2 linked regions of the Cricetulus griseus genome follow. The protein of the gene in region 2 interacts with the protein of the main gene of each other region in a biochemical or structural test. Links are inferred from orthologs where the notes say so. Each region holds a gene or a part of one and is shown on either strand. Other genes may lie near its edges.

What was found.
Region 1: the proteins of Dnm1 (region 2) and Sh3gl1 form a complex in vitro, tested with the Homo sapiens proteins (2 studies listed by BioGRID and IntAct, with this or other methods). The link is inferred for Cricetulus griseus from reciprocal best matches to the Homo sapiens genes DNM1 and SH3GL1.

What each region holds. Positions count from the first base shown.
Region 1 is NC_048598.1:97,509,719-97,520,073, reverse strand, and holds the start of Sh3gl1 (endophilin-A2), read right to left. Parts: upstream 6,629-10,355; 5' UTR 6,458-6,628; coding exon 6,413-6,457; intron 1-6,412. Other genes in the region: Chaf1a (chromatin assembly factor 1 subunit A), read left to right, coding at 9,442-9,481. UniProt on the Homo sapiens protein: Implicated in endocytosis. May recruit other proteins to membranes with high curvature.
Region 2 is NC_048599.1:144,044,133-144,053,797, forward strand, and holds part of Dnm1 (dynamin-1), read right to left. Parts: intron 7,359-9,665; coding exon 7,249-7,358; intron 6,325-7,248; coding exon 6,213-6,324; intron 5,829-6,212; coding exon 5,817-5,828; intron 5,495-5,816; coding exon 5,324-5,494; intron 3,675-5,323; coding exon 3,433-3,674; intron 3,085-3,432; coding exon 2,869-3,084; intron 1,587-2,868; coding exon of another isoform or gene 1,585-1,586; intron 1,224-1,584; coding exon of another isoform or gene 1,202-1,223; exon of another isoform or gene 1,187-1,201; intron 407-1,186; coding exon 334-406; 3' UTR 1-333. UniProt on the Homo sapiens protein: Catalyzes the hydrolysis of GTP and utilizes this energy to mediate vesicle scission and participates in many forms of endocytosis, such as clathrin-mediated endocytosis or synaptic vesicle endocytosis as well as rapid endocytosis (RE).

The DNA.
Region 1 (10,355 bases), on a different chromosome or scaffold from region 2:
GGAGACTGTTTCCTAGCAGGGTGGACTGCTCTCTAGGAAAAAAGGCAGCCTGGCTGTCCTCAGTCTGCTTCATCAGCTCTGGGTCAGTTACTGTTATCACCCCACAGGCTCCTATGGCCCAGCCTAGCGCAGCCTCTCTCCTGAGTACTGGGGGTACATCCTAATGCCAGAGGGCCAGACACAGGCTAATTCCTCTGTAAGACCAGTTGGACCTGCTCCTGCCAAGCTTCAAACGACCCAGTTCCCTAGTTCCCTCAAGTGCTACCTAAGCCCAAGAAGTCAGTCCAGGGTCACTGTGGGAGGCCACAGAGAGGAAGCCCCATTCTTAGCTCTGAGCAGCAGGCCACTTTGGTGGTGCCTTTATGATCAGCCTGTCAGCTGGCACCACATCAGGAAATACGGCTTGTTACGGCCAGCCTGTAGGAACATGGGGAGCAACAGCAGGGAGCATTCCATGACACGAGAGTGAGACAAAGTGCAAGGGCTGCCCTCCAAGCAAGTGCTGAGATGCCAGACAGACAGGGTGGATGGGAGGAGGGCAGAGGACCAGGCAGGGTGAGGTGCAAAAGAGGCACAATGCCACCAGAGAGGTGGGGCAAGCACAGCACTGCTTGGGCGGGGCATGGGCAGAGCTGTACAGACTGGTCTGGTGGTATGTGGGACACTGGTCACCAGTGCTGCTGGTATGTGGGATACCCATCGCCAGTGTGACCCTGAAACTCTGGCAAATATCTGGGAGGTCCCCAATGCTAGGGGACAACACAGCCTGTACCCCAGAAGTCCTGGGTCAGTCTGCTTTCTCTCTCTTTTTTTTTGCCTTTGAGCTGCTACACATAGTTCTGGGCACAGTCCCCATCATAGACTTGGTGACCCAGGACAAGGCAGCAGGGCACCTGTCATCTGTGTCACCCTGAAATGCTAAGCAAACATGCTAGTTCTCAGGGGTTATCCACCCTCCGTATATCCTGGGGGCTAACACTGAGGATCACCCAGAAGGGAAGGAACCCACTTATGGGAGTTCTCTAGAGAGGTCAGCCAGCAGGTGCTGAGTCAGGGACTGGGAGGAAGCCACAGCTGTGTTCCCGAAGTGCTTGGGAAGTGTCCCGTGACCCCCAGGGGCTCAAATCAGCAGGTTTTCTAGGAGCTGAGCGGAAAAGGAAGATGAGGCATCCTGTGGACCTGCAAAGGGCAGGAAGAGGGAGCAGAGGGGCGCCCACCCAGGCAGCAGGGGTGGCCCCTGGCAGGGGGAGGCCGAGCGGAGCAGCTGCCAGAAAATGAAGTTTTCTTTCTAGCTTTCCAAGGAGCGCTTAAGAGAGAACGAGACAGCAGAGATTCAGCCATTATATAGCTACACACCCATGATCCCAGCATGGGGTTTGAATGAGACCCCCATCCCACAAACAAACAAAAATTCAGAAGAATAAAAGTAAGTAAATAGGGAATGAGACGGCTCAGTTGGTACAGTGCCTGCCACATGGAATCTCAGCTCGCACATGAAAACATGGGTGTGGTGGAGACAGGCAATTTCACTGCTGCTGGACATGGGGACTCTTGGCTAGCCAGGCTAGTCTTAGTGGTGAGTCCCAGGTCCCAGTGGTAGATTGTACAGCAGGAATAACACCTGAGGTTGATCCTTCCCCACAATAAATAAATAAATAAATAAATAAATAAATAAGCAAGCAAGCAAGCCCTGGGTTGGAGCATGGGGTGCCAAGCAGAGAGCCAAACCTGGGCCTGGTTCCACTCCCCCCACAGCTGCCTGCTGTGGCATCTCAAATCCTACAAGGGAAATGAGTTGTGGAGGGGCAGAGAGGGTACAGCTGTTTCCTGGGTCTCCCGATCAAAGGCTGTGCTTGGTGGAGGGGAATGGACATATATGCACACACACAGATACATGTACATGCTCTGCAGGCACTCACACGTAGCAGGGGCCTGCCTCTCTGGAAGGGCCCAGGCTGAAGAACAGGGAGAAGGGAATGGGTACTAACAAGTGAGGTGGGACATGGAACACTCAGACACCATGTCCCTAAAGGAATGATGGTGATGGGGCTTATAAACCAGATGTGACAGTCCCCATTTTCCTGTCACAGTGGCCTGCTGTAATGTCCAGAGATGGAGCTGCTCCATGGTCTGGCCTAGCACACCATGGTAAACGATTAGCTGGGGTGCTGCATTGAGAGCCCAGGGCTCTGACTCAGGTGGACTTTCAGCTCACACAATCAACGTGGCCTCATGTGGAGGAAGTCATAGCCAGGGCTGGGGTGTCATCTACAGGCCTTGGGTTCTACCTCCCTCTACAGAATGTGTGAGAGAGGAGTGGGAGAAGGAGGAAGGGAGGGAGGGAACAGACAGACAGACGACAGACAGGCAGACAATAGTTACATCCCCAAACCCACAGAGTCCCAAGTCTGCGTGTGTGTGTGTGTGTGTGTGTGTGTGTGTGTGTGTGTGTGTGTGTGTGTGTAGGGGGCAGGGCCCACCAAGCACTTGCCTGGCACTCCAGTCAAACAGTTGGCAATTTTCTTCCAAGGTCAGATCAACCAATCTTTCTTTTCAAACCTCCCTTTCTCTCAGGCAAAAAAGAGGTTGTGGGGGGGGGGTTGGGGTGGTGGGGGGTGGGGTGAGGTCTGCATTCCATGCCAGGAGCAGCATCCTTAGTTACATTCCATCTCCAGGCCATCACAGAATGACCAGGAAACCAGCCAGCTCAGGCTAACAGTGAAGACACCAAACAAACTTCTGAGCCACAGGCCACTTCTATCTGATACCCTGACTTCCTCAGAACCCTCAGTCCTCCACACACACCAGGGTGAGGAGACGGTGGGGATCACAGCTAAGAGCAGAGCCACCATCTCTCCACTTCCCCATAGGAAGTGAAACCCCCAACTTCCTTCAACACCCAAGCTCATTTTACACATTTACATGTACCTGCAGGCTTGGCTGGGTGATGAGCTGGGGACCTGTGAAGCTCAAACCAGTGGAACCGGAGCCACAGTCCAGTTGCCCATCCTGGCTTCCAGCTCCATCCATACCTTGCCTCAGCACCCCTGAACATCTTTCCATAACCAGTCATTTCTGATTTGAGACAATGTGGGCTGAGGATTCTTTTATCTTCTTTGAGATAGGGTCTCATGTAGTCCAAGCTGGCTTCAAACATACTATGCAGCTGAACTCCTTGATCCTCCTGCCTCCAACTCCAGATGACAAGTGTGAGCTCCTACACAGGGGTTATGTGGAGTTGGGGGCAGATCCCAGAGCTTCCTTATAAACTGGGTGAATGTTCTACCCACTGAGCCCCAGCTTCTCTCCTGCTGGCTCTCACTATGTAGCCCAGACTGGCCTGGAACCTACAGGGATTATAGGCATGCCCTATCACACCTGGCTTATGGCTTCTCTTTCTGGCAAGAAAGAATTTTCTGGGGACTCAGGAGACAACCAGGGAGGTGTTACTTAATAGAGAAAAGAGACACACAAGCGGGACCCAGCTGTAAGAGTAGGATGTTGAGGAACTGAGGAAACTCCTGCAGGAGGCTGGGCTGAGGGCCATCTGTTTGTAGCTCTTTAGAGCTGGCTCAGACTCCTGGGCACAGCAGTCATTCTTTGGGACAGGGCCCTAAATGTCAAACAGTAAACTGACCTGAGTTGAGTGGGACTTTCCAGGTTTATAGGCAGGTTGGATGGTGGCCCTCCAAGAGGCAAAGTCTGGTGGCTGCCCCTCTGGGTCCTTCCCGAAGTGCCTGCTGGGAATCAGTGGGGGAGGAGCCTCTAGAGAGCACAGGGATTCAAACAGGAGGGTAGTCTCAGGCCCAGGCTGGCAGCACCCCCAGAGCTTGCCTACAGTACTTCCTGCATGGGTGCAACCCACTCAACCCCAGCTGGGGGTGTGCACTGCCATACTCAACATTCCTGCACTTTCTTCTTTCATCTCTACCCCCCCCCACACACACACACACATGTGCTAGCCTCCCTCCAAGGTCCACACATAGAGCCCAGATGTCTTTATCCTTAGGCAAGCTAGGGCCATTCCTTTTGGCCCCTGGAGTGACAGCAAGCACCAGATGCCTGCTCCCTCTGGCTGGGCCTCTCTGGACCATGGGGAGAGCCCTTCTTGCAGGCACAGCCCAAGCAATTCCTCACACTGTTGCTCATCTCTCTGTGGAATCTACTCGAGCCAGCTCCACACCCAGGATTCTCAGCCTGCACTGCATAACCACAGGATTAGCACATCTGGGGCTTCTTGGAGCAGAAACCAGGCAACAAACTCTAGGTTCACAGGGCTCCCTGCACAGATCCATGGGTTGCATGCCTCTGAGTGTTTTACTACATACCCCTGGAACTCAATTCGCAACAAACCCAGGGCTTCCTGCGTGGTAGACAAGCCTTCTACCAACTAAGCTACACACCCAGATCACCTGCTGCTGTTCTGAGATATAGACAGGTTCTTCAACTTGAACTTACAGCTAAAATCCTGCCACGGCCTATCAGATAGTGTGGCCACAGACTAAACCAACAAGCCTGGGCCCTGTTCTAGAAGGGGAGTGTAGCTGCTCCAACATCCTTGACTGAGGACAGGCCTCTGAGCTGAGAGTAGCACCAGAAGGGATGCACAGACTGAAGACACACCAGCCTTGACCCTGGTGACCTCTATGGTGACAGGAGTAGCGACCAAGTGTTTCATACGGACATAGCTCAAGGTAGAACATTTGCTACTGTGGGCAAGGTCCTTGGTTCCAAACCTAGCACGCATGAATGCGTGTATGCATACATACATACATACATACATACATACATACATACATACATACATGCATGCATGCACGCACGCACGCACGCGCGCGCGGGGGGGGGGGGGGGAGGGAGGAAGAGGAGAGAGGGAGGAGAGGAAGGGAGGGAGGGAGGGAGGGAAGGAGAGAGAGAGAAACCTGAAGGGGAAGACAGAAGAAAAGAAACTCAAAACAGACAAGGGAAAACTCACAGATATGAACTTGGCAAACCACTTCTGGGAAATTTATCTTACAAATACAATCTCACTAGTGAGGCTTGGTGGCAACAGCACAAGGATGCAGAGACGGGGATAATGAATATGAGGTCACTCTAGCCTCAGACTGGGACAGAGAGAACACAAGAGCTTGTTCAAGGGAACATATGACAGAGTCCCAGCACTCAAAGGCTGAGAAATCAGGCTCACAGTGCCAAGGAGTTCAAGGCAATGTAAGACCTCCAATACATGAAGGCAAGTTTGAACTGTGGCACCCTGTCATCCCAGCACCCAGGAGGCAGAGGAAGGAGGAAATTTTGGGTCAGCCTGGACTACAAAGCATAACCTTGTCTGAAAAAGCAAACAAAAAAGTTCCAGAGGAGCCGGGCCGTGGTGGTACACACCTTTAATCCCAGCATTCAGGAGGCAGAGGCAGGGGGGATCTCTGTGAATTTGAGACCAGCCTGGTCTACAAGAGCTAGTTCCAGGACAGCCTCCAAAGCCACAGAGAAACCCTGTCTCGAAAAAAACAAACAAACAAAAAAAGTTCCAGAGGGATGTTACATTATGGGATGTCGGAAGACATCTGTTTTCAAGATGAATGGAGCTCCTGCCATGGGGTGGGGTTTTCAATATGTAAGGATGCAACAGAGCCCAGGATGCCCACCCTGGAGAACACACACAGCCAGGATGTAGAATTTCAGTTCAGATTCATGCTCCAAGAAGCAGTGAACCCAAACCACCAAGTACCCAGGAATCTACAGTTCAGCACAGCCATATCAATGTATCTTTCAAAGAAACACACACGGACTTGGAAATGGGGACACAAAGTCTGTGACATTTTGTAACTGGAGAAGCTTGGAAAATTACTTTTCACTGTCTCTTTTCAACTTGGCACAGTGTCTACCAAGAGATTCTTCTTTTTTATTTCGTTTTTGAAACGGGGTCTCCTTATATAATCCTGACTGGCCTCAAACTCTTGAGATCTGCTTGCTTGTCTCTGTCTCCAGAATGCTGGTACTAAAGATGTGTACCTCCTGGCGAGTGTCTTGGGGGGGGTTGTTTTTGCAATCTATTTTGGAGACACAGAAGAAAAAGAGATGGGCCACTTATTTTTCTAAGTCCTGTGTGGACTTCGTAAATGTTATCAAGATTTTTTTTGGGGGGGGGAAAACAGCCCAGACACACATTTTCTGTGGCCTGAGGCTATGTGGCAAGAGTCACGGATACACACAGCCTGGAAACCTGGGTTCCCTCCTTCCACCCTGGGTCCCTGGGACCGAAATCAGGTCGTGAGGCTCGGTGGCAAGCCGGTTAGACACGCACATCCCGTGCCCCTGTGCAGCCCGGGGGCCCGGTTTTCCCTTCCCGGAGCTGGCTCCTTCGCGGTCCCGCGAGCCAGGCCCAAGCCCGGATCGCCCGGCCGCGCCTCACCTGGCTCGCCTTGTAGAACTGCTTCTTCAGCCCCGCAACCGACATGTCGCCTCCCGCCGTCGGGCCTCCCGCCCGGACTCAGGTTTCCGCCGGCGTCGCCGAACCGACCTCCTTCCTCCGCGCGCTACTCGGCGCCGCCTCCGCCAAAGCAGCTCGCCAGCTCTACGCGCCCGCCGGGGAAGACACCTCGGCCCGCTAGCGCGCACGCGCGGCCGGGATATTACATGGCAACCACACACTTCCGGTGCCGCCCCCACCTCGCCTCTGCCCCTCCCAGCGGCATCCGCGCGCGCGCGTCCGGCTTCTGTGCGCGTGCGCCGCCCCTGTAGGCCGGAGAGCGCATTGCAGCGGGAAGGTAGGGGAGAAAAAACCCGCCCACAGCAACGAGATGAGGGGCGCCCGGAGAGGCCGGAGAGCTGCAGCTCCCTCTACAGCCGAGGAGTAGTAGGAGGAGGACATAAAGTCAAAGCCAGCGTCCATTAGTTAATTAGTGCGTGCGTGGGGAAGGGGGCGCGGCGTGCGTGCCAGAGGACGGCTGCGGTAGTCGAATCTCCGGGATCGAACTCACGTATCCAAGCTCGGCTTAAGAACTTTACTCACAGCCGTCTCACTGGGCCCCCAAGGAAAGATTCCTGACAGCTCACGGCTGTGCCGGGCCGCTGGAACACACAATAAATGAAATAGAGAATAAAATGAAAACAAGACAAAGCCAAGTAAAATGAAATTTCCGAGGCGTTAGAGGGACGGATGGCTGGCTGGCGTGGCGGTGACCGGGAGGGAGTTTGGTTCCGCCGCACCCACATCGGGCCGCTCGCTTCAGATCCATCCGCCCTCTCGTGGCCTCCTCGGTCAACTGCGCCCAAGTCTGCAGGATCACACGTATACCCATAACTTAAAAGATAAACAATATAAAAACACTCAACCTAGGGTGTCTCCAGTTTAGAAGGTAGACGTCTTCATTTCTCTTCCCGTAGCTGTGACTAAATGCTCTGACAACAAAAGCAAAACCCAAAGGAAAGCAAAAACGCTTGGTCAAAAGCAACTGAAGCAAAAGCAAGAAAGAGTGTTGGAATGCCACCTCCTTGGTGAGACCCAGACTGACACTGGTACCTTAACCCTTAGATCAACTGTGTTATGGATTTCAAAAAGCATAAAGAATATGCCAGAGGTGGCAGTGCACACCTTTAATCCCAGCACTTGAGAAGCCGGGCAGATAGATGGATCTTTGAGGTTGAGGCCAGCCTGGGCTACATAACCGGTTCCACACCATTCTAGCATGACTTGGAGATTAATAATAAAATGGGGGTGATGAGTAAATAGATCCTAAAGCAGGAACAGGAAAATGTTTAGGGTAAAGAATTTTAAAAATCTGGTGTTGAAATTGCTGACAAGTGATTCCATGAAGCCAAGATTTCTGGAAGGTTCCCAGTGACTCAACAGAATGCAGTGTGGTAGATGAAAAGAACATGTGAATGTCATCCTTATTGCTCATGACTATAGGAGCCTTTGTACATGGTGGATTACGAATAGGTTTTGTTTGAGACAGGATCCCACATAGCACAAGCTGGTCTTCAATTCCTGATCCTCTTGCCTCACCTTCCTGCTCCTGCAATGACAGGCTTATGACGACAAGTCTGGTTTCAAAAACGTGTGTGTGTGTGTGTGTGTGTGTGTGTGTGTGTGTAACTGGAGACTGCAGCCAGATTCCTAGCATGCTAGCCACCACAGGTTGATACAAGGATGTTCTTTATTTTATATGGGTTTTGAGATGGAGTCTCATGGAGCCCAAGCTGGTGTCAACTTCAACCTGCCTTGGCCTTTAATTCTGGATCTTCCTGCCTTCCTCTCCCAAGTGCAGGGTTGACAGGTGTACAAGAAGATCTGCACAGTGCAATCTGATTATACTTCCGCAGCAAGTCAAAGGTTTGATGAGATCCTTGACACTTTCACTGAGTTTATGGCCAAAAAGCAATTCATACAGTTATTCTATTAAGAACCCACTTACTAGCCACAACTTCAAGAAAAGAACTGTTGTGGGCATTGAGCTGTTTGCAGATGAAGGAGGGAAAGGTTTCTTTCTCCACCTAACAGATGAAACATTTTAGAAACTGGTTGGTGGGTACCAGGCCAGCACGGCTGCATTGTGAGATCCTGTCTCAAAAAAAGGAAAGAAAAAAAAGAAGGCAATTAATAATGTTTTGATACATTGTATCGCTGGCTGGCCTGGAACTGGCTATGCAGACCTGGCCTGGATGTCTTCAAAGTCACAGAGATCTGCCTGCCTCTGCCTCCCAAGTACTAGGGTTTAAAGCTCCCACCACCAAACTCAATGAACAATTTTTTTAAATTAATATATCTTCAAAGTAATTCACACTAAAAAGGTAATTAACGACTTTGAAAGTAATTTATAATCTTACAACAAAAAAATTCTACTTATAAATAAAGCAAATCGTAATTTTTAAAAAAGCGGTTCATCATTTCAGAAAAGTAACTCATATTTTTTTTAAGTAATTTATAGTTAAAACAGGAAGTACTTGTGAATTAACAATGAAAGGAAGTGATCCCCAGTTTTAATTGCTGTAGCTACTTTGAACCAATCACTAATTAGGATAAACTCACTTCAGATTCCTCCTCTAATCAGTAATTTCAAGTTGTCACTGGCGCGGATCGTGACGTAACCGCCCCACTTCCTCCCACGAATAGCCAATAAAAGGGAGGGCTCTTAGATTGACATTGCATCCTACCAGTAGAAACGTGCCGCTCCGTAGCCACTCAAGAACCGCCGGAAAGGAGTCCTCCTCCTTCCACCTCCCGCGGGATTTTTGGGCGTATGACCCGCAGTTCTCGCGAGGACGCGCCGAGCGCCCCTCTTTTCCTGAGGCAGGGCTGTCACGTGACGGGCTCCCGTCCAATCGGCGCACGGGCCGCGGTGGTTGCCGCGGTTCCCGCCAAATACGAGCGCGGCGGCCGCGGCGGCAGCAGTAGCGCCACCGGCGGGAGGCGGAGAGCGTAGCGGGGTCGCCGCCGCGATGCTAGAGGAGCCGGACGCCGCGACGCCGCCAGCCGTAGGTGGGTGAAGCTGCGGCCCGAAGGACCGGGTCCGCGCCCGGTGCTTGGGGGCTGAGATGCGGAGACGCGAGGGCTCGCAAAGGGGAAACTGAGGCCCCGGGGAGGGGGAAGGGTCAGCTTTGCAGGCTCCCGAAGGTTCCGTGTAGCCCAAATAACGAGGGCCTAGTAGCTGATGGGGAAACAGGCCCCGGGTCGCCCTTGATGGGTCCTGAATGCATCTGTGTCCTCTTGTTGCAGGTGGGGAAACTGAGGCCGGGAAGGGGGGTAGCGTCACTTTTGCAAATTATTAAATGTATTTGCGAATTCTCGAGTGAGTCAGACCTTTGCAGTGGGTGGGGAAACTGAGGCCTGTGGTCACTTGAGCTCTGGACACCAGAGTACCCCGCAGCTGTCTCGGGCAGGGCAAGCCCAGGATGATGGAGACTTTGCCTGGCAAGCATGACCAGGAAGCTCGCTTTTGTGAGTGTGATATAGCCCTGCGGGGTACGTGTCAGGACTCTGTGTAGCATGAGGCAGGCTTCCCTAAATGTGGGGTGCCTAGTCCCCCTGCTTGACTCTGAATTGTACTCCCAGCAGTTGGCACGGAATCCTACCCTGAGTCCTACCCTGAGACTGGAGGGGGTCGCATCCTGATGGACTAAGAGTTCACCAATTGAGCACCACTTGGGGCACTTAGGATGGTCCCTTCTGAGTATGTTATACCAGTCTGAAAGCTTGGACGTTAGTGGATAGGCAGTTTCTGGGATAGAGAGCAGCGTCCTCCATCTCCATCCACTTCTGGGATAATTCCGGCCCTCTGCTACGGTTCTGACCACCAAAGATATGCCACCCCCACCCCCAAACACACACACAGCCCAGTAAGATCCAGCAAGGC
Region 2 (9,665 bases):
GGGGCTGGGTCATAACTAGCAGGTAGTCTGGGTGGAGGCTGGGTGGCCCTCTCTTGCCACACACACGGCCTCTCACACACCACCCAGGCAATGTGCCCATAGGGCCTCCCTCTTCTCTGGTCACTCTTTCTCCCATCCCACTGGCCCAGGGCCACCGCAAGCCTCAGGGAGTCCCATGTAACAGCCATGAGGCTAGAAGTGCTTGAACCAGGAGAGCAAAGCTAAAGGGGATGATTGGAGGGAGCACTGAAGGCCCCTCAGGTGGTCAAAAAGCCCAGGAGTCCACTGAGGGGATCCTGAGGAGGCTGGGAGGCAATGCCTGTGGCCACAGACTTATAAGTCTAAGAGGGGAACCTCCGCTGGCCGGGGGGCTGCAGGTCTCGTAGGTGAGGCTGGGCCCTTCCTGCTGGGGAAAAGCAGAAGGTGAGCGTCAATGGCTGCAGAAGAGCTGGGACAGATCACAGAGAGATCCTGTGGCCAGCCAGGCAGGACTCAAGCTGATTTGCCAAGTCATTTGACACTGCAGTGTGGTTAGCTAAAAGGTACAGGTCACTCCCAGAAGAGGCCAAGTGTAAGAGCTAATGGGCTGACTCTATATCTGGGGCTGAGGACATGGCCATTAATTGCAGATGTGTAATATCAAGGAGGAAGGGGAAAGGGAGTTACCTGCCCTTGCCTTGCTTGTGAGCTGTTATGGGCTGACAGAATGGCAAAGGTCTTTTTAAGTCTTCTGAACTAATCAACCAATCAGAGCCCTGGCTGAGCTAATGTCAGGTTGGGAGCTGGAATCTCTCTTGGCAGCACAATTTAGACTAGGTATGAAGATGAAGTCCTAAGGCCTCTAACCCCTTCAGAAGCTAGCCACACACATCCTAAGCCCTCAGTCCCTACACTGTCAACAATGTCTGACAGCTCCAGGGAGTACCCACTTCTACCAACATGGGCGCAGAACCTGTCCCAAGAGCCCTCATTTAGTCAAGAAGGCCTTGAGTAGTGGCGCTGAGTCCCGGGGCTCACTGGGAAGAGAAAGAGCCAGCTGGCAGAGGACAGGAAGGAGGAGTCTAGAGCTGCAGAAGGGGGAGGGGCCTGGCTCAGAGGCCCCAAGGTTGTCCTCAGCATGGAGCTGGTGCATCGAGGAGGGAGGGGGCAGACACACTTCATGCAGCAGGCTGAGAGCATAACCTACCGTAGCTGATACTCCTCAGGGGTCACTGATAGTGATTCTGAAAGACAGCACGAAATCAACAGGGCAGTTCACAAACACACAGGTGGGCCAGGCGTGGGGTTAGGGGACACACGCACGCACACGCCTGGGCGTGCACACACATGCTGTGAGGCCTCAAGGCCCTGCATGCACACGCTAACACACATGCCCACAAACACGCATACATCTCCCCTCCCACCTCCCAGTGCCCAGCACCATTGCCGGCCAATACGTGCAGCACGGATCTGGGACATGCAGCCACTCAGCATACTGAAGCACACGCATGAGCTGTCACAACACAGAAGCTCGCTTGCACACAGAAGACCTTTGCACCAGCTCCCTGCACACTCAGGCCTGGTGTGCTGACAGGGTTACCACACTGCTCCGTAAGGGATAAGGGCTTGCATTCTAGGACCCAGGTGTCAGCTCTGCCCAATAATAACCTTCCATGATTTTGCACAGCGTTAAGTCTCCACAAATCTTTCTCCAACCTGCCCCACCCTACAGCCAGCCACATTTACAATCAATATAGCAGCCCTCCCCCCCATCTGACACTACCTTGGAAAAGGAGAAGGGAAACTGAAGCCCTAGGAGGGAAGATGACTTGCTAAAGGGAAGTGGACCAGCATCTCTGGACTCCCAGTCCCAGGATATGCTCCTGCCTTTACCCTGCTGTTTCGTCATTGGAGCCCCATAGAGCAGGCCCATCCATGCCTCATTTGGTGTATGCGTTTTAGACCCCCAGCTCTGCCCTTCAGTCATTTAGACCAAACGGATGCTATTGGTCTGTCTGATACTGTGTTCTTTCTCAAAGACCATAGTCTGTGGAAACTGGGCAGACTGAGTAAGCTATTAGAGTGAACTTCCTGGAAAGCCAGTCATGGATCAAGAAGGCAAAGCCAAGGGATGAAGTGTGTTTCTTTTCCCGAGAGATCTCTGGCAGGAGGGCAGTCTTCAGTTCCTGTCCCTGGCCCACATCCACCATCTGGTTCCAGACCACCAGATTGTCCACGATTCCCAGATTCCTTCCTCGGCTGCTTCCTATCCTACTCCATGCCTGGGTGCCACTCTCACATTCTCACCCGTGTGCACGCCCACACACATCACACATCTTGCTAGTCATACAATCACAGCCTGGCCTGATGCTGTGGGCCAGAGGCTGGACATCATTCTGGGACAGCTTAAAAGAGTCAGGGCTGGAAATGGGGCATCAAGGCAGTTCTGAATGCAACTGAAGAAATCCACACGGCTCAAAAGGAGGATCTGGGGTCAGAGCCCTAGACGTGAGGAGCTGGGCGGGTGAGTGGAGGATGGAATGGAGGAGAATGGAGGGCAAGGGTTAGAAATGCAAAATGTGGGAAGAATGAAGAGAAAATGAAAAAAGGAAGCGCCATGCAAGTGCTGAAAAGGAGGGGGCGAGTGGTATAAGTTCCAGAGCCCCCTCCTCAGAAACGACCACCTCCGGGACTCAGCGCCCCCTGCAGGGCAGGGCCGTCAGCCCGTTGCGGCCGCCGGTCTCTTGGCCTTGCACCACCAACCCCAGCGCCTGGGATGGAGAGGGTCGCTTCCACCGCTAGGCCAAGGATCTAGAATCCGACTCCACCTCCCTCCCAGTCACGCCCGCCTGGAGGCCTTTCCCGCCGCCGCTTTCAGCCCCTACTCACCTGGGGACCCCAGGTGGGGCGCGGTTGGGGCGCGAGGGCACCTGGGGAGGGGGGCCGAAGGGATCAGGGGAAGCCCCCGGCCTGGAGGGCACGGGGGGCGCCCCCCCCAGGGCGGATCCAGCAGGCGGAGGCCCAGGAGCAGGGCCCCGCGACCCGGGCCGGGCTGGGGGCACGGCGGGGGCTCGGCGCTGCGGCGTGGGGCTGGACGTGGGCGATCTACGGTCGGGCGACAAGGGCAGAAGAGAGGAGCAGATATGAGCGGCTCCGCCCCCAACAGGGATCCCGCCCCCAGCCCAGGCTGTCCCCGCCCATGCAGCAAGCCCCGCCCACCGCGGCCGCGGGCAGCATCGGAGCCGAAGCCTCGTCCCCCCAGCGGCGCCACCCGTCCTGCAGCCAGCGCTCACGGCAAGCCCCGCCCCGCGACAAGCCCGCCCTCTTCTAAGCTCCGCCCCTCGCTCCAGGTGGGAGCCCCCGAGACCCGGGCGCGCCACTGCCCGGTCCCGGCCCTCCTCCCGCGGGCCCCGGGCTGGGGGGCTTTGGGGCCGTGGGGGCCGGCCCTGGTACCTGCGTCCGGCCGGTACGCTCTGCACCTGCAGCCAGGAGTCGTCCACGGGCGGGGGCATGGGCGTGCTGACGGTGGTCGTGTTGATGTCGCCGATAATGCTGAGCGCCTCCTTCAGTGCGTGGTACATGCGCAGCATCTCATCGCGCCGCTGAGCTTGCTCGGCCGATTCCTCCATCAGTGTGTTCTGGTCCCCGCAAGAGTACAGGTTGGCCAGCAGCTCGGAGAAGATAAACTCCTTGGTCTGTGAGAGAGCAGAGACGGAAGGAACCTGATGACCATGCCACCCTGTCGCTGGCCAGACCTTCTGGGATTAGGTGTAGAACTGGGAGCTGGAGTTTGGCATTTCAGATGCCTACTTCTGCTTGGTGCCCAAACCCGTAGGTCTCTCCAAACCCCATCTAATGTCCTTTTCTCAGACATAGCCAGAGAGGGAAGTCACTTGCCCTCTGTCTGTGATCTGGGATGAGACTCAGAAACCTAGCATGCCACTAGGACAACTGCCTACTAAGTTTATGAGCCTTTCCCAAGACCCAAATAAGGAAGGAGATAGTTTAAAATGTCCTGAGTCCCTAAGAAAGAAATAAACATAATTATAATGTGTCCTTGGATTGAGTGAGAAGTATCAGTGTGTGTAGTGGAGGTTTAATTCCCATTTAAAATCCCCAGGCAGTGCTGCGCGGTGGTGCTGCACATCTTTAATCACAGAACTTTGGAGGCAGAGGCAGGAGGATCTCTGTGAGTTCAAGGCCAGCCTGGTCTACAAAGTGAGCATCAGGACAGCCAGGACTATGCAGAGAATCCCTGTCTCAAAAAAACAAAACAAAACAAACAAAAAAAGATTGCCCCAGTGTGGGGCAGTATTGTGACTTGTTGACACATTGTAGCCTGCTCCAATCTCACTGCCTCCTCACCCAACAATCTACGAACACCCCCCCTCCATGAGCCAGGCTCTGTGCTGCTCCACACTTCATAAGCAATGCTGTTCTCAGCTCTATTATTACCATCCATGGTTTATACATTAGGAAATAGAGTCAGAGATGGAGGTTCATCACAACCCACTTCTGCTGTCCTGGGGCCCTGCTTTTTCACTAAGCCACAGTCTGTGGTGGCTCTGAGAGCTGTGTTTCATTTCAAAAAATGGAGACTATTGGCTGTTCCTGAAGAACATGCATGTTTGGGACAATCTGGGTATGTGTATCTATTTTTCAACTGCAAGTTTCCTGGAATTCAAATTAAGATGACATTTCCACCAGATGTGTAACATCTGGAGTGGGTTTACAAAAGCTTAATGGGAAAACAGTGTGCAATGTATAACTAATGTATTTTTAGATTGGAGCCAGTTATTGTGGGACATGCCTGCCACCTCAGCACTCAGGAGATGGAGAGAGCCAGGTAGAGGTCACCCACAAGTTTGAAGTCAGCCTGAGCTCCACAACAAGACCCTAGCTCAAAAGTCAAAACAATAGTATTTTGGATATCATGGGCTATTAAAATTAAGGATTTTGGAACCAGGTATAGTGTCCAAACTTTTAATCCCAGCTCTTGGGTGGCAAAGGTAGGCAGATCTCTGTGAGCTCAAGGCCAGCCAGAGCTACATAGTGAGTGCTTGTCTTGAAAATAGGTAAATAAATAAGGGTTTGAGGATTATGGGATAGTTTAGTGCAAAGCCTGATGACCCGAGTTCAATCCTTGAGACCCTCATGGTGAAAGGAGAGAACCAACTCCCTCAAGTTGTCCCATTACCTACACAAAAACAAATGGCATGAGTTTGAGTTCCCCTGCCCTGTGCATATATATAAATAATACAAAAGGAAAGATAAGCCCGCTGGCTGCTTGGTCCCACACAACTACCCTGCACCGCTCCCTCCCCCACCCCAGCTGTGGACATACATTGTTGATCATGAGGTGCATGATGGTCTTAGGCATGAGATCCCGCACAGTCTTGTTGACAATGGCCATGTACGAGTCTACCAGGTTCCGAATGGTCTCCACCTGCCGCTCCAGCTGAGGGTCCATGGAGTGCATGAAGCTATCAGAGCCATTCTCCTCGGTCTCACTGGCCTGCCATTGGGAACACAGGGTATCAGAATGGCAGGGCCCGTGCAATCAGACTCCCGATATCACTAAGACCTCAGCTCCTGCAAGGATATCTACCACACAGAGGCACTGAGAACACATCTGGGACTCTAGGCTCACCACTGTGCCTCTCAGGACCCAGACACCCCACGTTCAGCTTTGACTTGACTCTGACCCTAGTGTCTAGAATCCGTCCCCATTTCTCAGTCCATACATTGGAAAAGATCATCTCCAAGTTCCTTCACTTGGCTAGAGTTGGTGCCAGGCTCGAGGACCCTGGCAGGAAGCAGGGGGAGGACACACTTACCTTCTCCTTGTCCTGGAGGCCCACATCAGAGCCACAGAAGCCATATCAGCATTGCCACCAACACCAGGGAGCACATTTGAAATAGACAAAGAGAGAAAAAGGGAGGGATCACATGAACCTAGTGCAATGTACCCAAACCCTGGTACATGTAGACGCTGCTGCAGTAACAGGGAAATGGGACAAGGCAACTTGAAGCCACCAGTGTATGAAAGTTCAGGAGATGCTCTCTGGCATCCGCTGGAGGAAAATGGGGAAGCCAGAGGACTTTGTTCCAAACCCATGCAGGTAGCTTGCTCTTTGCCTCAAATAAGGACTCAGAACTTCTCAAAGCCTGGTACCCTGGAACCCCGGGTACAAGCAGCTGGCCCCTCCTCCCCTCGCTCCACCACCACTCACCCCAACGCGCTCAGGGTATACGCCAGCCCTCAGGAAGGAAGCCTTCCAGCTGTCCACCTCCTCCTGTGTCTCACAGGCCAGTTCCAGCTGCCGGTAATCTTTGTAGACATTCCTGCAGGGTGGGGTAGGCGGGAGGGGGATGAGGAAAAGCCCCACCCTGTTCAGGGGATAGTGACATGTGTGGGCTTTAGGGTCCTCATGCCTACTATCCATCCCTGGCTTTCTTGTTGACCTTAGGCAAGGTCCCTCCTCTCTTCAAGCCTCAGTGTTCTCATTTTGGAAGTAGGTTGGGAATGATTCCTGTCTGCTGTGGCCATTGGGATGCTTCAAAGGGAAAGTAGCCCAATGTAAAGAAAGGGACTGAAGTCAGGCATGGTGGCACACCCTAATGCCCTTACTTGAGGGGTTGGGGATTTAGCTCAGTGGTAGAACACTTTCCTGGCAAGCATAAGGCCCTGAATACGGTTCTCAGCTGGGGGACAAAGCCTGTTCTCAAGAGGCTGAGGCAGGACAATCTTCAGTTTGAGACCATCCTGGACTACTTAAATGAGACTAAGACCCTGTCTCAAAACAAAAGGAAGGCTGCAGAGCCAGGCAGGGCAGCCCTGGCTTGGGCCTCAGGCCCCTTCAGCACCCTCCCTGGCTTTTTGGAGACTTCCAGATGGCATCTGCTCGGGATTCTTATCTCTGAGTAAGAAAGAGCACCTATCAGAGCCAGCCTGGAACTGGAGAAGTGATGTCTAGTCCCGAGCCCATCCCAGAGGAGACTAGGGCTTTAGACCTTTTGTTCTGTGCCAAGCAGACACTAGGTAAGTTAAGTGGCTGTGAAAAAGGAGGGAGGGGATGAGGAAGCAGAGGGGGAGGAGAAAAGGGTAAGGGGAGGAGGACGCTAAACATGGACCTGGCACTGAGGAGAAACTGAGTAGCTGTCTGAGGGCAGGCCCCTGGATTTGTGCACCCATTTTCTACACAGCAGCATGGTTTGGGGCTTGCAGGGTCTGGGGTCTCAGCAGCTCAGCCAGGGGCAAGCAGGCACCTCTGCTCTGTGTTGAAGAGGGCAAAAATATGCTTGCTTGACATGAAACCCTTCTCCACATCACGAAGCTTCAGATTGTCCACAGACAGCATGTACTTCTTCTCTTTCTCCTGTTGGGAGGGGTAGGAATGAGGTGTCAGTCTGGCACTGCCATGCCTCCATCCCTTAGAGTGTTCCATGAGGGCGAGCACCTGGGATTGTGAACACTCAAGGTAGTCTCGGGCTCTAGTCCTTGCCAGCACACATGGAGCTGTACAGTAAATGCTGGCCGTGGAGCCCTGACCCCATGGCTTTCAAGCCAACCCTAGTAGCCCTGTATATATGTCATAAGGGGCTGGCGAAGGCATTGAGACTAAGAGGGTCTCCCTCATCTCACCCTTAGCAAGTTCAGGAGACAGGCCAGGCTGGGCCTCAGGCTGGGATGGCTCAGTGGCGGCTCAGTTGCCTCCAGCCTAGTGGACTCTGACTTCATTTCCTGACTATGGAGATGGGAGGGGGGACTGCACTAGCCCTAGAGGCTCAGCCCACTCCCCCCTCCAGCCATCCATGTGTTACCAATCAGACACACAGCACAAGCCTGGAAATTGCATGTCTGTGAGCACATGTGTGTGGTTGTGTGGTTGTTGCAAGGCCAAGCGAGTCTGTCACCATTGTGTGCACTTGTGTCTATAGGACATAGCTGCATGAATGCATTGGACCATGTGGTAATAATATGTTCATGTTTGTCAATGTGTGTGTTTGTAGCAATTGTGAATGGGGTGTAAGACTATGGAGTCATAGTCTTTTTTTAGGGTTTTTTAAGTATTTTTTTTTTTATTGAAACAAGCTTCTTTTACATGTCAATCTCAGTTCCCTCTCCCTCCCCTCCTCCCCTGCCCCACCACCCCTATTTTCCTGCTCCCCAGGAAGCATATGGTTTACATATGGTTTGTGCAGTGACCTAGACATGTTGCTGTGTTCTTTTGTGGAAGAAGTTATATAAATCTGTGGATAGATGCAGCTCTGTCTGTAGGCTCTGTGTCCCAGGGGAAGGATTCAGGGATCCTGGGAGGAGGCACCTCAGATGGGGCACCAGGAAGGAGGAGAGAAGTTTTTGCTGCCTGTACCTCCTGGCCACCCACCCAATACTACCGGGCGTATGCTGGAGGGATGGTCTGTGTGGGACTTGACAAGTTTTGTCTAGGATCTCAGGTGGGGGCTGGGTTTAGGAGGACCTTGCTTTCCCACCCTGGCGTCCATCTCCACCCCTCTGCCCCACACACCCGCCTGGCCTATGCAGCCACATAAAGCCCTCTTTATGCCAGGCGGGTGGCCGGGAGCCCCAGAGGGCGGCTGGGGGAGGAGAGGAGGAAGTTGCACACGCGGCCAGGGAACATCTGGAACCCATCTAGGGAGGCCCGCCACAGCCGCCTTGTGCTCAGGGTTGGACACTAGGTAGGAGTGGCCTCCTCCCCCAGCCCTCCCTTCCTGCCGGCCCCCTCCCCAGGCCCCTCCTTCCAGCCCAGCTCCCGCTCACCCCTGCCACGTCAAAGGAGGCAGAAGGGGAGTTGGGAGCAGAGAGGGACCACGGCTGGCTGTCTGGGGCTGGGGGACATGGGAGCTGGGGCTGGGGGCATCGTATCTCTAGGGGATGGGGCCAAAGCTCCCACCGGATGGACTGATGCTGCCGCCTGGATGAACCAGAGGATACCTCCACTCCGTCTACCCAGTGTTTAGACTACCTGTTCAGGACTCCCAAATTGTACAGTAGTCTGCACATTGGTTAGGCTGGGCTGGGTTAGACCCTCGGCACCGTCGCTGAAGAGCCGCACCAACCCTGCTGTCTTCCAGAACCAGAGCCTGGACCTGGGACAGGGAGCTGTGGGGCACAGGGTGGACTGGGAGGAGGTGCAGAGCTATGGGACTGCCATCCTGTTACGGGACAGAGGTTGTGGTGATAGGGGAGGGCAGCGGAGGAAGACGGAGAAGATGGGGGGGGGTCGTCGGCACTGGTGATGTGGGTGATTGCCTGTCTGACAAGATGCTTCCCCAACCCAAAGACTAGAGGACATGCGGCCTGGCAGAGGGGACCAAACTCCTGCCCAAGCCCAAACTACAGTTATCCTAGTGCAAAAATGCACTCACACTCCAGAGCTGAGAGGCATACATCTGTGCATCCCAGCTTTAGAGCGCACATCCATGCCCAGACACACTCAAGTGCACGCACTCACACTCAGACACACAGCCTCACAATGGGAAGTCCCCTTCCCCCAGCCTCTCTTCCCAAACACATACACATATTCTCAAATATCCTTCATTCACACTCTCTCCCATCACACCCCACCCCCACGCGGACACACAAGCACAGACAATGAAGTCACATGCAAGCACACAAATTCACACCTAGGTGTTTATTCCCCTAACACACTCATAATACC